Linked DNA regions of Danio rerio. The protein of the gene in region 2 interacts with the protein of the main gene of each other region in a biochemical or structural test. Links are inferred from orthologs where the notes say so. Each region holds a gene or a part of one and is shown on either strand. Other genes may lie near its edges.

Region 1 (4,263 bases), on a different chromosome or scaffold from region 2:
TCCAGTAAATATTGCATAATCCATAAAAAAGCCAGATCTTAGATGATTTTAATGTGTATGATAATAACAATCATTTGTTTTAAAAGTATTAATAAATAATTAAGTATTGGGATTTGATTTTTGTGCATTTGTTATATATATATATATATAACAAATATTTTATATTGTGTATATATATATATATATATATATATATATATATATATATATATATATATATATATATATATATATATATATATATATATATATGAGAAAAGTGATAGAAATACCACTGATGATCATCACAAGATAAATAGGTTGTTAAACAGTGTATAAAGTCCATATTTTGTATCCAGTGGCACTGTGCTCGAGTGTTTGATCTGTTGTAACAAAGTGAAACATGTCAGAGACCATCAATAAGTGCTAGAGTAACAGTAACACAAAAAAACTGTCTTCTCTTTACTTTGACCTATATGCTATAAAACAGTAGAATCAACCATATTTTAATGTACTCATAACAAAAACTAATTAATAAAATAAACAATAATAAAAACGACCATTCTTGCAAATGTCCATCTCAACATTACCTGTATATTTATCTTACTAATGTTGTTATAAATACAAATAAACTAGCTATTGTGTCTTTACATACGTTTAAGCAACGTCAGTAAAAATCTCAGAAAGTAAACTGAAACGTCACTTGTCAGCTGTCACGCTATATTCGATCAGTTTGTGGTTGTGGTTGACGCAGTGACGTTTAACAGGGTTGTTTGCACTTTTGAGAGGATCTCTAGGGACTGTCACGGATACGGCGGCTGGACTTTGTGGCACGCTGTCACTCCACAATAAGAAACGCCCCCATTTTTAGACCATTGGCTGACGGAGCAAATGCACTTTGGCATAAAAAAGCAGACTATAGCCCTGTTTCTTCGTGCCAGATTAAATTATGTATGCCTGTATAACACTGAGGTTTTTAAACTAGGGTTCGGGGACCCCCAGGGGGCCAACAAGGGAGTGCTGGAAGTGAAGAAGAGTAAAATTAGCAAATACTAATTAATTCATAATATATTTCAACGACTGATTAAAAAAAAATACTTTTAATCAGCTAATCTAACATTATATTCAAACAAAATGAGTAACATCAAGTTATGCTTATTTAATTTATTATTTCAGAAGGCATTTCTTCTATTTTTTTTTCGTTTTAAATCTCCCTCAACATTTTATTGTAAGGTTGGAAATTAGTTTCACTGACTCCAAACTGTATTTCTAATATATATTTTTTACCTTACTGATGTATATGCAATACATTAAACTGGATCCAGAGAGTGTTTGGAACTTGCTGTTGTTAAAGAATGGCCGCGTCTTGCGAAACTCGCGCAAGAATTGGTCAACTCTCAAACATACAGCGGCACACATTTATTCTGCCTCTTCTTCTCAAACTTATAGTAAAGTTTAAGTTCTAAAAGTGGCGCGTTGTACATTACTCTGCTTCTTTGTATCCCGCCACGGTCTAAAACAGCTAAGCGGGTAACCAGATATTCAAAAACAATACGTAATCCCACAATGCACTGCTTTACAGCATTACCTCATCCCATCAGGCACCGCGAGTAGAATCTTCTGGGTGGTCGTCTAGGCAACGCGCCTTATCTGAAATTGTGACACGCCCAGTAAAACGCCTCCAGCCAATGAGAGGCTGCGCGCATTACATCATTTCTATTTTTAGTGGGGCAGCGGTAGCAGATAAGGTTTGCCTCCACGCTGGAGAAGCTCAGAGTATACAGACCTCGCCACAGTGAAACACCTCACTCAAACCAACATAAATAAGCCTTCGGCTAAGCACTGTTTATCTGCTGGTGTCTGAGAAGCGCGACAGCGGCGGAGGAAGAACTTTCTATCCGCGGAAGGCAGGAGGAGACGAGCCCGTGACACTGGCGATAACTTTACGCAGTAAGTTTCTCGCGGGACGGGGAGTTGAGGAACTTTTCCAATCCTCTCGCTTTTGTTCCAAACACCGCAGCGCTCGTTACTGAACGCGGACAGTGCTTAACAGCGCCTAAAAGACTGCTTCTGAACTAAAAGTTTCGCTTTGCCTTCTATGTCTACCAAGATGGAAACTACTTTCTACGATGACTCTCTAAACAGCGCTTTCTCTCAGCATGACAGCGCCACTTTTGGATACAACCACAAGGCTCTGAAACACAACATGACGCTCAATCTGTCCGACCCCGCGGGGAACCTAAAGCCCCACCTGAGGGCCAAAGCCAGCGATATCCTCACTTCTCCCGACGTGGGACTTCTCAAACTGGCATCACCGGAGCTGGAGAGGCTCATCATCCAGTCTAGCAACGGCATGATCACCACGACGCCAACTCCGACCCAGTTTCTGTGTCCCAAGAACGTGACGGATGAGCAGGAGGGGTTCGCGGAGGGCTTTGTGAGGGCACTGGCTGAGCTGCACCACCAGCACATGCCCAACGTCACCTCGGCTCCCCAAACTACTATCAACAGCAGCATGGCACCGGTCTCGTCCATAGCGGGCGGTGCGGTCTACAGCTCAGCCATGCGCGCTGATCCGCCGGTTTACGCGGATCTGAACACGTTCAACCCTGCTATCAGCAGCAGCTCGGCCAATCCAGCCGCGATGAGCTTCCCGAGCGCACCACCGCAGCTGCCCGTCCAGCACCCGCGCCTCCAGGCCCTGAAAGAGGAGCCCCAAACGGTGCCCGAGATGCCCGGCGAGACCCCACCGCTCTCTCCTATCGACATGGAGAGCCAGGAGCGGATTAAAGCCGAGAGGAAGCGCATGAGAAACAGAATCGCCGCGTCCAAATGCCGGAAGAGGAAACTGGAGAGGATCTCCCGGCTGGAGGACAAAGTCAAGACCCTGAAGTCGCAAAACTCGGAGCTCGCGTCCACCGCCAACATGCTGCGCGAGCAAGTGGCACAGCTCAAGCAGAAAGTCATGAACCACGTCAACAGCGGCTGCCAGCTCATGTTGACACAACAGCTGCAAACCTTCTGAGGAGAGCCGAAGGACATTTTGAGTTCAGCCACATAAACAAACTTCAGGGGCTTGATGTCTGCGATCTGGCGCGACAGAGCCCGCGGGGACCGGGACCGTCCGGCCGGCCGCGTGCCGTTAAAGGATGATCCGACTGGACTTTTGAGGAGCGCAAAACTTCACTCGGTCCGACAGAGACGCAGAGCGCATGAGACTCACTCTGTTACATGTTTTACTTTCTGACGAAATCCTTGTTCACATCGACCAGGTTGTGCATGGACCTATACGCTTCAAAGGAGCACTCAGTATTATAGGAGTAAAACAGAGACGCGACTGCCGTACAGTAGGGATACTGGCTCACCAAGCAGGACGTTGTGTCTGCTAAACTTTTGATAAAAAAGCTGCCTGACTTCTGAGCTACATATTGTACTTTTTTTGTTGTTCTTAAATTGAACGGAAATCGACTTTTTTCCTTTTGAGTTAGTCCAACTTAAGCAGTTTCTTTTTCTAAAAAAAAAGTTCATTAATGAGGTTTCACTCATTGTTATTTGTAAATATGATCAACCAGGAGTACTTAAGTTTACCATTTGTAAGTAAAGTACAATAATTTTTTATGTTTGTTTTCTGAGCACCTCAGAAACTAATCAATATTTATGAACTGTAATAAAGTATGTCAAATGAAAAACAATGTCTCTGTTGTCTTAATGGAAATGACGCTTGTGTGTGTATGTGTGTGTGTGTTCAAATTGACAAACATGTAATAACATGTTTTGGAAGAGACTGGCTGTTTTGTAAAGTCCACAGACAGGACTGGGAAAAAAGGGTGTCAAAAAACATCCTTACAGTAATTAAAAATAATAACATTATAAATACATGCTTAATTGCTAAAGGTTAAATGCAAACTTAATATAACATTTTTACATCAAAATAAAGCAGACACATAATTTGATTGACTCTTTAAATCAGTAATGCTGAAATTATCAAGTAATTATCACACAGTCAAGTACTAAATAGACCAATGCCTTTAATCATGGCCTCATTTTTGTGTCAACTGAAACAAAAGTTTATTAAGGTTAGTGTTAGCCTGCAAATATGTTAAAAAAAATTGTAGAAGTTGAAGATGTATACAAGTTTTAACAATTTAACCAGCAACAATGACTTAATATTAAATTAATAAATGGTTGAAATTTAAAAATACTCCTTATAACAATAGTGTGTTATTTAGGCTATCAAATGTTAAAACTGATGAAAATGATTTACTAACATTTATAGGCAAATAA
Region 2 (4,098 bases):
ACCACCGTCCAAAGACATGCAGTACAGGTGAATTGAATTAGTTATAAGTTAAATTGGCAGTACTGTATAAGTATGTAGTAAAAAAAAAGAAGGAAGGAAAGAAGGAAGGAAGGAAAGCCTAAATCTAAAGAAAAACCTAGGGAAGTGCCGAAAGAGCCCTGATATTAACTACAATTACATACCTCATAATAATTATTAATTACATTATCTGATATACAACTATGGGTAAAATCAACAATGAAATTGATTGTCAATGAATGGCATAGCAGATTAGTTGGGCTGCTCAAGTGACTGAGAAGCATGACGACAAGATAGAAAGCCCCTCGTGCAATGGCAGGTACAGAAGCAGCTGATGGAAAAAAATCATGCACCCCTAGTCCTCCAAGGTATCAAAAAATTTTACATTAAATGCCTTAAAAAGGATAATACCCCTCACTCTACGAAAGACTGAATTTTCGAGGGACAGAAGTACTGGCTCTAAATTAAATTAGCTTAAATTAAATGGTGGGATTAGAGTGAGAGACTCCATATTTAAAATCAACAGACAACAGCAGTAGTAGAATATCACAATTAGTCTATGTTATGGTTTTCAGCTCATTTTAGCTGATTTCTTCCTCTGTTTCAAAAAGAAATTGTTGCTGTTTATTTGTTTATTATTTATAATTTTGATATTTCAACAAATTCTGCCATTTAATATCTCAATCTTGGCATGCTTATGTTCTAATTTCATAATGTGAATATAACAGGTGTACAACACTTGTTTTGCTTGTATTTTAGATATTTAGAAAAATTTTACCGTTCTAAAACAAACCGCTTAGACAGATTTAAAATGTCAAAATCAAAGATCATTGACCTCAATATGCGGCTTTTATATATATTTCTAAGTACACTTTCAGTGCTTCCTATACATAGACTTTAGTTGGGCGGGAAACCCAGGTAAATTAACGGATGCTAAAGTATATTTAGTGACACATCTTTTTACTATTATTAACATCCAATTACCAAGCATCCACATTCGATTAAGTAGCGAAAAATCTTCTCATTCACCCGTTTTGTTCTGTGCGCGTCAGACCTGTCAACACTCCCACAGACCGTCGCACATGCTTTGCAGACCCACAGAGATATGCCTTTTTCGGGACTTATAAAATTAGTCCGGCCCAGGTTTCTAAATCTCTTAAAATGTCCGGATACAACTTTTGCTTTTGCTTTCTAAAGCTCTTATGCGTTTTTGCATTACCTTATTACTTAATTCAACTTTCGCTTAAGTTTGTGACTGACTGCGCATACACAGTTGTGCGAGCAAGAGAAACATTCAACAATTCATTTTTTTCAATCTAAACGACTCAAAAAAACTTTAGTATATATTAGAAGAGGACAAAATGACTGGTCTAAACTGGCTGCAAAATGTAAACCATTAAGTTATTCAACGCATTTGCCTTATTTAAATAATCGTATAACAGAATTCATTTTTCTTCCATTTATTTCTCATTTATTGATTATTTTATTAATTTGCTGATATTAGTATATTACATAGGCTATCTTTTAGCATAAAATAAGAGAAATAGTGGATTACTTTTTTTATTCCAACAGTCCTTTTTACTTTAAATCATTGAAAAGAAACAGTTTAAAACAGTGTCACAATAAATAAAATTGTTAAAAATGTAATTACGTTAAAAAACATACTAAATATACAGTTATACTATATATTCATACCTCATAGTATAACTGTTTATGTGCTGCGGGTAAATGGCGTTTTTCAATCCGGCTACCACAGCAAGTATATTTCAAACATGTGGGACGTACTGACATTTACACATAAATAACAGCCTAATTTAGAGTTTTATACAGCCATAATAAGCAAAAGGTCACATCTTAAAAAGTACTCAGCACTTTATCAGATTAATCTGGAAAAAAAATATTGGCCAACTAATCAATTATCAACATGATTGCTAGTTGCAGCCCTATATTACATAGCCCATTATTTGAACAATTCGACAGGACACACTCAACAAAACTGTTCAAAATGCCAAGGGAGGTCACATTAAACACCAACTTTAACTTAAAGAATCATTTTTATCCTAATTAGTTTTGTTTTGTAAATTTATGTTAATATTTCCCGTATTTTCTGTTCGTATCTTAATAGAAAAGTAAATTTGGATACACATTCAGAAGTGTGTACAAGTCTTCGTCAATCAAAAGCTTTTCATACAAATAAAAATCTGTACAAGCACACAGAATCCTTTTTCTCATTATTACACCCTGATTTGTTCCCACGTTACCTTGTTCACTGCTCCTGGTTGCTGCGGTCTCATTGCTGCCTGTGCCATCTGCTGCCCTGCATTTGGCTGCTGCAGAGAATCGGGCAGCATATTCCCGTTGCCAGCCATGCCTGCATTCATGTTCACATTGGCGTAGCCCATTCTAGGTGCACCATTCATCATCTGCCCACCCATCATACTCTGCGGCTGTCCATTCCCTTTCTGGGTGCCCATCATGGCTCGGTTCAGTCCCCCCACCATGCCAGGCTGCGGCATCATGCTAGGCTGCTGCTGAGGGCCACCCATTCCCTGAGTAACAGGGCCACCGCTCAGACCTCCCATCATTCCTAAGGAGGCAGCGTTACCGGGGCTGCCGGTGGCCGTGGAGGCGGATGGAGGAGCACCAGGGCGGAGGAGCTCAGACAGGTGCTTGTGTTTGGCCGCAGTGTCTTGGCCCGAGACGCCCAAAGGGCCTGACATCCCTCCTCCACCCAGACTGGTGTGCAACTGGCTGGGGTCCATCCCGTTTGGAAGGCCCAGGTCGGAGGAGTTAATGAGCTCATCTGGGAGGTCATGCTCCAGGTCAAACAGAGAGCCAAAATCTGAAAGACAGGAAAACAGACCTTTAGGTTGCCGCTCACAAAAAAATCATTCTCAATTAGATAAATCAAAGCATCATTAAGGCCTGCTCACACATAAAATGATAAGCATACCCCGTTTCCACCTGGAATAATGTGTTAAAGTGAGAAAAAAATCTAAACAAAACTAAAATCTGTCAATTTATGCACCCTCTACTTCCTCCAAACTTAATTCTTCTGTTGCACAGCAGTGAAGAATGCTGGAAACCTGTAGCCATTGACTTCCATAGTATTTGTATTACGTACTATAGATGTCAATGGCTACCGGGTTCCAGCATTCTTCAAAATATCTTATTTTGTGTTCAACAGAAAAAAAAAAGGTTTGGAATCATTTAAGAAGCAGTAATCGTTCATTTTTGGGTCATTATCCATTTAAAACGCCCAAGTTTATTAAAGTAAAGAGGAACATAATTCCCAAAAATTGTTTCTCCTTGTCATTACTATTATAGACATGTCATGCATTAATATATAGAATTATATCTTTAAATCATTATCACGCTTGGTGTCAACAGTATGAGCCATTGGAAAAGCAATCCAATTTTACTGAAGTGCATATGAATGTAACTTGTACCTAAAAAAACCTAAAAGACAGTGAAATGAACAGCAAGTCTCCAGTGGTCAAATATCATCCGGTTAATCGTCTCGGTCAATATATCGGTCTATCAATCAGTATACAGCAAGAAATCAACAAAATCTGACCGAACTGCAACTGAACAAATCTCTGCTGTTGGCTGCAACAGATGATTGTGATGAGAGACAGAGCATTGGAGAGCAGTATGCAGTAGAACCGGTGTGCATGTCCTAATGGTTCATACTAATAAAAAACACATGGTATGGCATAACAATGGACAAGCTCTGGGACAAAATGGGGGCCTTTTTCCTACATAATGGCAGGTCCTGATAACAGAAACATACCAACAACTAATACATTGAACATACTCTACATATGAATCCGGCAAACTTCTGAGCGCTTGTGAGGGACTTATAGAAAAGCAAAGCGATTAACCTGACAACGTCATGAATAACTAAATATTTTGTTTACCATTTTGGCTGTTTTAAAACAAAAGGAAACGGGGTATAACAGGGTTGAAAATTGGTAAAATGCCACACAGGTAATATAAAAACCTGATTTCATGAATTGCTGTCACAATATAATTAAAGAATTTTTTAATGCATGTATATTTAGACATGCTCATGATTAA
Region 3 (4,635 bases), on a different chromosome or scaffold from region 2:
CTTGCCTCATCATCATCATCATCTTCAGCCGCTCTTTTTCCCGTTCCACCCTCAGCCTCCTCATCTTCATCATCGTCATCACCTGTAATGTGGTAATACCTTAGTAATTCATCTTTATTTACACATTTTGGTTGTCAATTGTTTAAACCCACAGCAGATGTTTTAAAAGCTTTTTTTTTTTTTACTTTCATTAAATAAACATACCTTCTCCATCATCCTCCTCATCTTCTTCAGCCACATCATCGTCTTCCTCATCTACTTCATTTTCTGGATCTCCATTCTCCTCGTTTTCCTAAAATAATAGCATTATGGGTTATTAATGGTCGTACTTGAGGTCTTTTAGTACTGAAAACTTTATGTTGTGAAGTAATTATTTGGAATCGTACCGCATTTCCATTCGCGGGAGCATCCTTTCCATTTTCCGCCTCCTCAACCTGTTTCTTTTCTTTGAGGTCCTAAATAAGGAACAAAATATTTCTCTGTAAATTCTTTGGTTGCTTCTCTTAACTAAACAGCGTGAGCAGAGCTAAATTCACATCCTCTCATCTTCGCGGAACGTGTTTTCATTTCACATTTGAAACGCGACACTTTCTCTCTCTTTATTCATTGGACGCCTGTCTCTTCCATCCCCGCCTGGTTTAAAGACCATATTGAGGTGTTGTAATTTGATACGGCGATGGCGTTACCGCCAAAGTGCGCTGTAGTTCAGTTTATTATCCACATCATTACGCTTGATGAAGACACGCCCGCTAAAAAACTACAACTCCCAGATCACAATTAGTGAGTATTTTAAGTCAGCCAATAGGAGAGCGAACTCGACCGAAAAGAGGCAGGACCGATAAACCTCAGAAAAGGAGAGAGTGAGTGAGTGAGAGAGAGAGAGAGAGAGAGAGAGAGCGAGAGGAGGGGGAACAATAGCGTTGTGCATTAAGGCCTTTAATAATTCGTCTTTTTCGAGCACTATACTATTGTTCTCTCGAGAATGACCATTACTATTAAGATGAGCAATGCTATTTATCTAATTATTTAACACGTTGAATCTCCGTATAAAAGCGCATCGTCCCGAATACCAGGATGTGCTTTCATGCAGCAGCTCGCTCGCATTAATAAATTTAGGTCATAATCCTCAGCTTTTAAGCCGGTTAGTGTCCACAACACGCCTGCAACGCCTTCTCACACACCGTCACCACTACATGCCGCTTCACAGCGTCAGTGAGCCGTACATGAATAATGGACATTTGCCACTGTCTACGAGATAATACTGACCCATTTATTGATCAAACAAACAATGTGGGCAGTAAGCTGAAGCGGAAATCATCTCCGTCTTCCGTAGGCAAACAAGAGATGCAACAAAGGACAAACAGGTCAAAATGTTGTGTCCACAACTGGAGTAGGAGATCCTCGTATGACACCAGTGAGGACACCAGTGAGAAGCGCGCACTCGGCTACATGCACTGAACGGGGCCGTTCACCAGCGCGCGGTCCTGCGCTCTCGGGCAGCCCGACGGAGCGCAGCGCAACGGAGATAGATGTAGGATCCCGAGATTACATTTTAAAAGATGAATGAAGCCGTTGCGTCCTATAACGCGGCGCTCGTGCGTGAATCGCTTGAAGGAGCATCACAGCGAGAAGCAACCTGCAAATGCGTCGATCTAGTTTGTTTGCAAATATAAGCAGCGTGAAACAGAGCCGCTGCCTGCACGGGTGCTCGTAACTTCGGGTTTCGCGCTCTCCTGCTGCGCTGCCCGCGCGCGACAATAGAGCTCATCCAGTCCGCCAGACTGCTGCATCCGCAGCGGGGTTTCGCCGGAGAAGTTTACGCACAAGCTGCGATCGCTGATAGAAGCAACTTCTTCATGTTTCGATACAGACTAACCAGTTCTTCCGTGAACCAAAAGAAGAGCCTCGTTTTCTGTTATTTCCTGTTAATTATCACCTAACGTTATCCCGACGCTGTGCAAAGTAGGTTCAGGTAGACTAGATCCACATAAATCTCATAAGCAGCTGATCAATCTTGTATGATGAACTCTGTTTCACCACAAAAAGTGAACTATAAGCCGAACTTGACAGAACTTAGAGGGCAACGTGAATTAAACCCTTGATAAAGTCCCGCTGAATGGAGCGTACATGTGAAGCAGGTTGGTTCTGAACATAATAATCCCAATGATAAATTTGGGTTTTAAACACTAGTCAAAAAGAAAGCAGCTCTAACGTTACATTAAACATCAAGGAAACGTGCTATAAACAGAGGCATCAGACATCGTGAGGGCTGCGGTAAGTTGTGACAGATCGAGCTGCGGGCTGACGAATCACCGCGTCTCGCGGACTCTACGAGGCTCCGTCAGTATATCCGAGTCTGTATTAAGTAATAATCAAACTCGAGCAACTAAACCAAATGAGCAGACTGGAGATAATGCCTACGATCCTCTGCGTCCATCTCTTTCACTATACTTTTTAAAGAGGAACCGAAAATCCTCCTGCATAAACAAAGACCCCGCGCAGAATACGAACAAAAAGCCTTTTAGTTGCAAATGTGTCCGTAAAAATCTCCACTTCACGAATTTACATCCACGAAGTCTTCAAAGTGACAGTGAGAGGACAAAACACCTACAAAAAATTGCCAAGAATATCCCAATAAAGCTGTATGCTGATTTCCATTCCACAATCCATATTTCATACAGCTCGTCTGCTCATATGAATAAAAAGCAGCATCTTTACAAATCAGTGTAAGCCGAAGTTGTATTCATTACCTTTGCGGAGACGTCCTTGTTGGTATCGACTTTTGTGTCAGCCATTTTTCCTAAATGTTAAGATTATAATGGGGTCTCGGAATAAAATAATATAAAGAGAAACACGAGATGCGAATGATAAAAAAGACTACTAAGGGTCTGTAGCGAGCTCAGACGGCGGCAGAGCACTTTTATAGAAGGAAGGCGGAGCTCGGAGGCGGGCGCTGTCCATTGATTGGTCAACATGCCAGCGACTCTGCTTCGCAGATTGGTCTTGATGGAACAATGGACAGTATTTCTACAAAGTCGGACCCCGCCTTCAAACCAGCCTCTGACTCATTTATGTGTGGAATAACTGTCGATATATACTATCCTGGTCAACCTCACAATGATGGATGGCCTAGATGGACTCAATGGCTAAAAAAACAAAACAAACAAAAACAACAACGATTTCACAAAGAGAAAGCCAGCCAGGTCTAGTGTGTTATGCATGCTTCCTGATGTGTTATTACATTTAGTGACATTTAATTGTCATCATACAATATTTTATCACCCCGTTATTCATAAACACTATGTTAAAATTTCACAAAACGCTGTCTTGTAAACTATACAAACATGTATCTAATCAGTATGCAAGCACAGAGGTTACAAATACTACTAAAATGATCATTTATTTGTTTTAGGAAGCGCATAACCATTTTCTTTATCTGAACGAAAGGTCACGCTGAATGAATATAATATTGCGGCAGTTTGTGGACGCCCCACTGGTGAAACCTGCTCAACATTTGACTGACAGTTCTTAAAACCCGCCTCTTTACCAATGTTTCCACTGGTAAGTGGGTAGCCTTTGTAAAATATTATCCTAAGGAGTTGTGTAGGGTTTTACACACGATATAGTTAAGAAATAATACAAAAATAATACACAGTTGGTTCTTCTATTTAGAACAAGACAAAAGTCGCGATTTTAGATGCCTGATGTTAAGCGGAATCTCACTCGCACTTGCAAACATGAATGATTCGAATGCCTGATGAAAAACAACGGATAATCTCAGTAAACGCAGTGTTTTATAGACATACATTTCGTCGTTTAGATAGGTTATGAAATTTAAAATTTGCACGCTGCGGGGAAAATGTAATGGTGTACGTCTTTACCTCACCAACATGGCTGATTGAAATTCCATATGGCGTCTTAAAGTCTTCTTATTGGCCGATTGGGCCGAACGAACACAGACTTGACGCTTTGCGAGCGATGATTGGATAAAGCCAACGTCAATCAACTGAAGTATCGTTTTTTAAGGTGCTAAAGAAAACATGGAACTGGAGCGTTGTCTTTTCCCTTTTCATTTCTCCATTTTCATGTCAAGGACAGATAAAAGGTGTTAGCAAACACACGCTCAGGACTGGATTTTCGCAAGGGTAATTACTAACAGGTTACTTATTGTCATCATTTAGTCGACGCATTTATTTAAAGAGACTTGCAAATGAGACATATCCCAAGCTATTTATCTCACTAACAAAACAGTTGCAGTAGCGCTAAGTTTACAGAGAGCTGTAGTGTAGTAGCTACAAACGTTACAGAAGTAAAAATTATTATTATTATTTGCACAATACAGTATTTAACGAGGCATTAAAATGAGATTTAAAAACTGCAACCTTGTCATCTAATCACATAATTTATTTGCTTAATTACTATCACTAATAACTTTAAGTATACTTATCAGTATTCTGTATGCTTTGTCATTTAGCAGGCACTTTGCATTTGCTACAGTAACTGCATATATGGATCAAACTAAAGTTTAGTGCCTCGCTCAAGGGCAAAATGATGAGCAAAATCTCCCTACACACCAGTTCCTGGGTCACACTATTTGAAATTAAACCTGCAACCTTTGCATTAGCAGCATACACT

The links.
Region 1: the proteins of ep300b (region 2) and jun form a complex in vitro, tested with the Homo sapiens proteins (5 studies listed by BioGRID, with this or other methods). The link is inferred for Danio rerio from reciprocal best matches to the Homo sapiens genes EP300 and JUN.
Region 3: the proteins of ep300b (region 2) and ptmaa form a complex in vitro, tested with the Homo sapiens proteins (2 studies listed by BioGRID). The link is inferred for Danio rerio from reciprocal best matches to the Homo sapiens genes EP300 and PTMA.

What each region holds. Positions count from the first base shown.
Region 1 is NC_133195.1:16,778,067-16,782,329, forward strand, and holds jun (transcription factor Jun), read left to right. Parts: upstream 1-1,808; 5' UTR 1,809-2,077; coding exon 2,078-3,004; 3' UTR 3,005-3,668; downstream 3,669-4,263. UniProt on the Homo sapiens protein: Transcription factor that recognizes and binds to the AP-1 consensus motif 5'-TGA[GC]TCA-3'.
Region 2 is NC_133178.1:23,792,263-23,796,360, forward strand, and holds part of ep300b (histone acetyltransferase p300), read right to left. Parts: intron 2,861-4,098; coding exon 2,280-2,860; intron 1-2,279. UniProt on the Homo sapiens protein: Functions as a histone acetyltransferase and regulates transcription via chromatin remodeling. Acetylates all four core histones in nucleosomes. Histone acetylation gives an epigenetic tag for transcriptional activation.
Region 3 is NC_133181.1:32,300,657-32,305,291, reverse strand, and holds the start of ptmaa (prothymosin alpha-A), read right to left. Parts: upstream 2,896-4,635; 5' UTR 2,796-2,895; coding exon 2,751-2,795; intron 456-2,750; coding exon 387-455; intron 293-386; coding exon 205-292; intron 83-204; coding exon 1-82.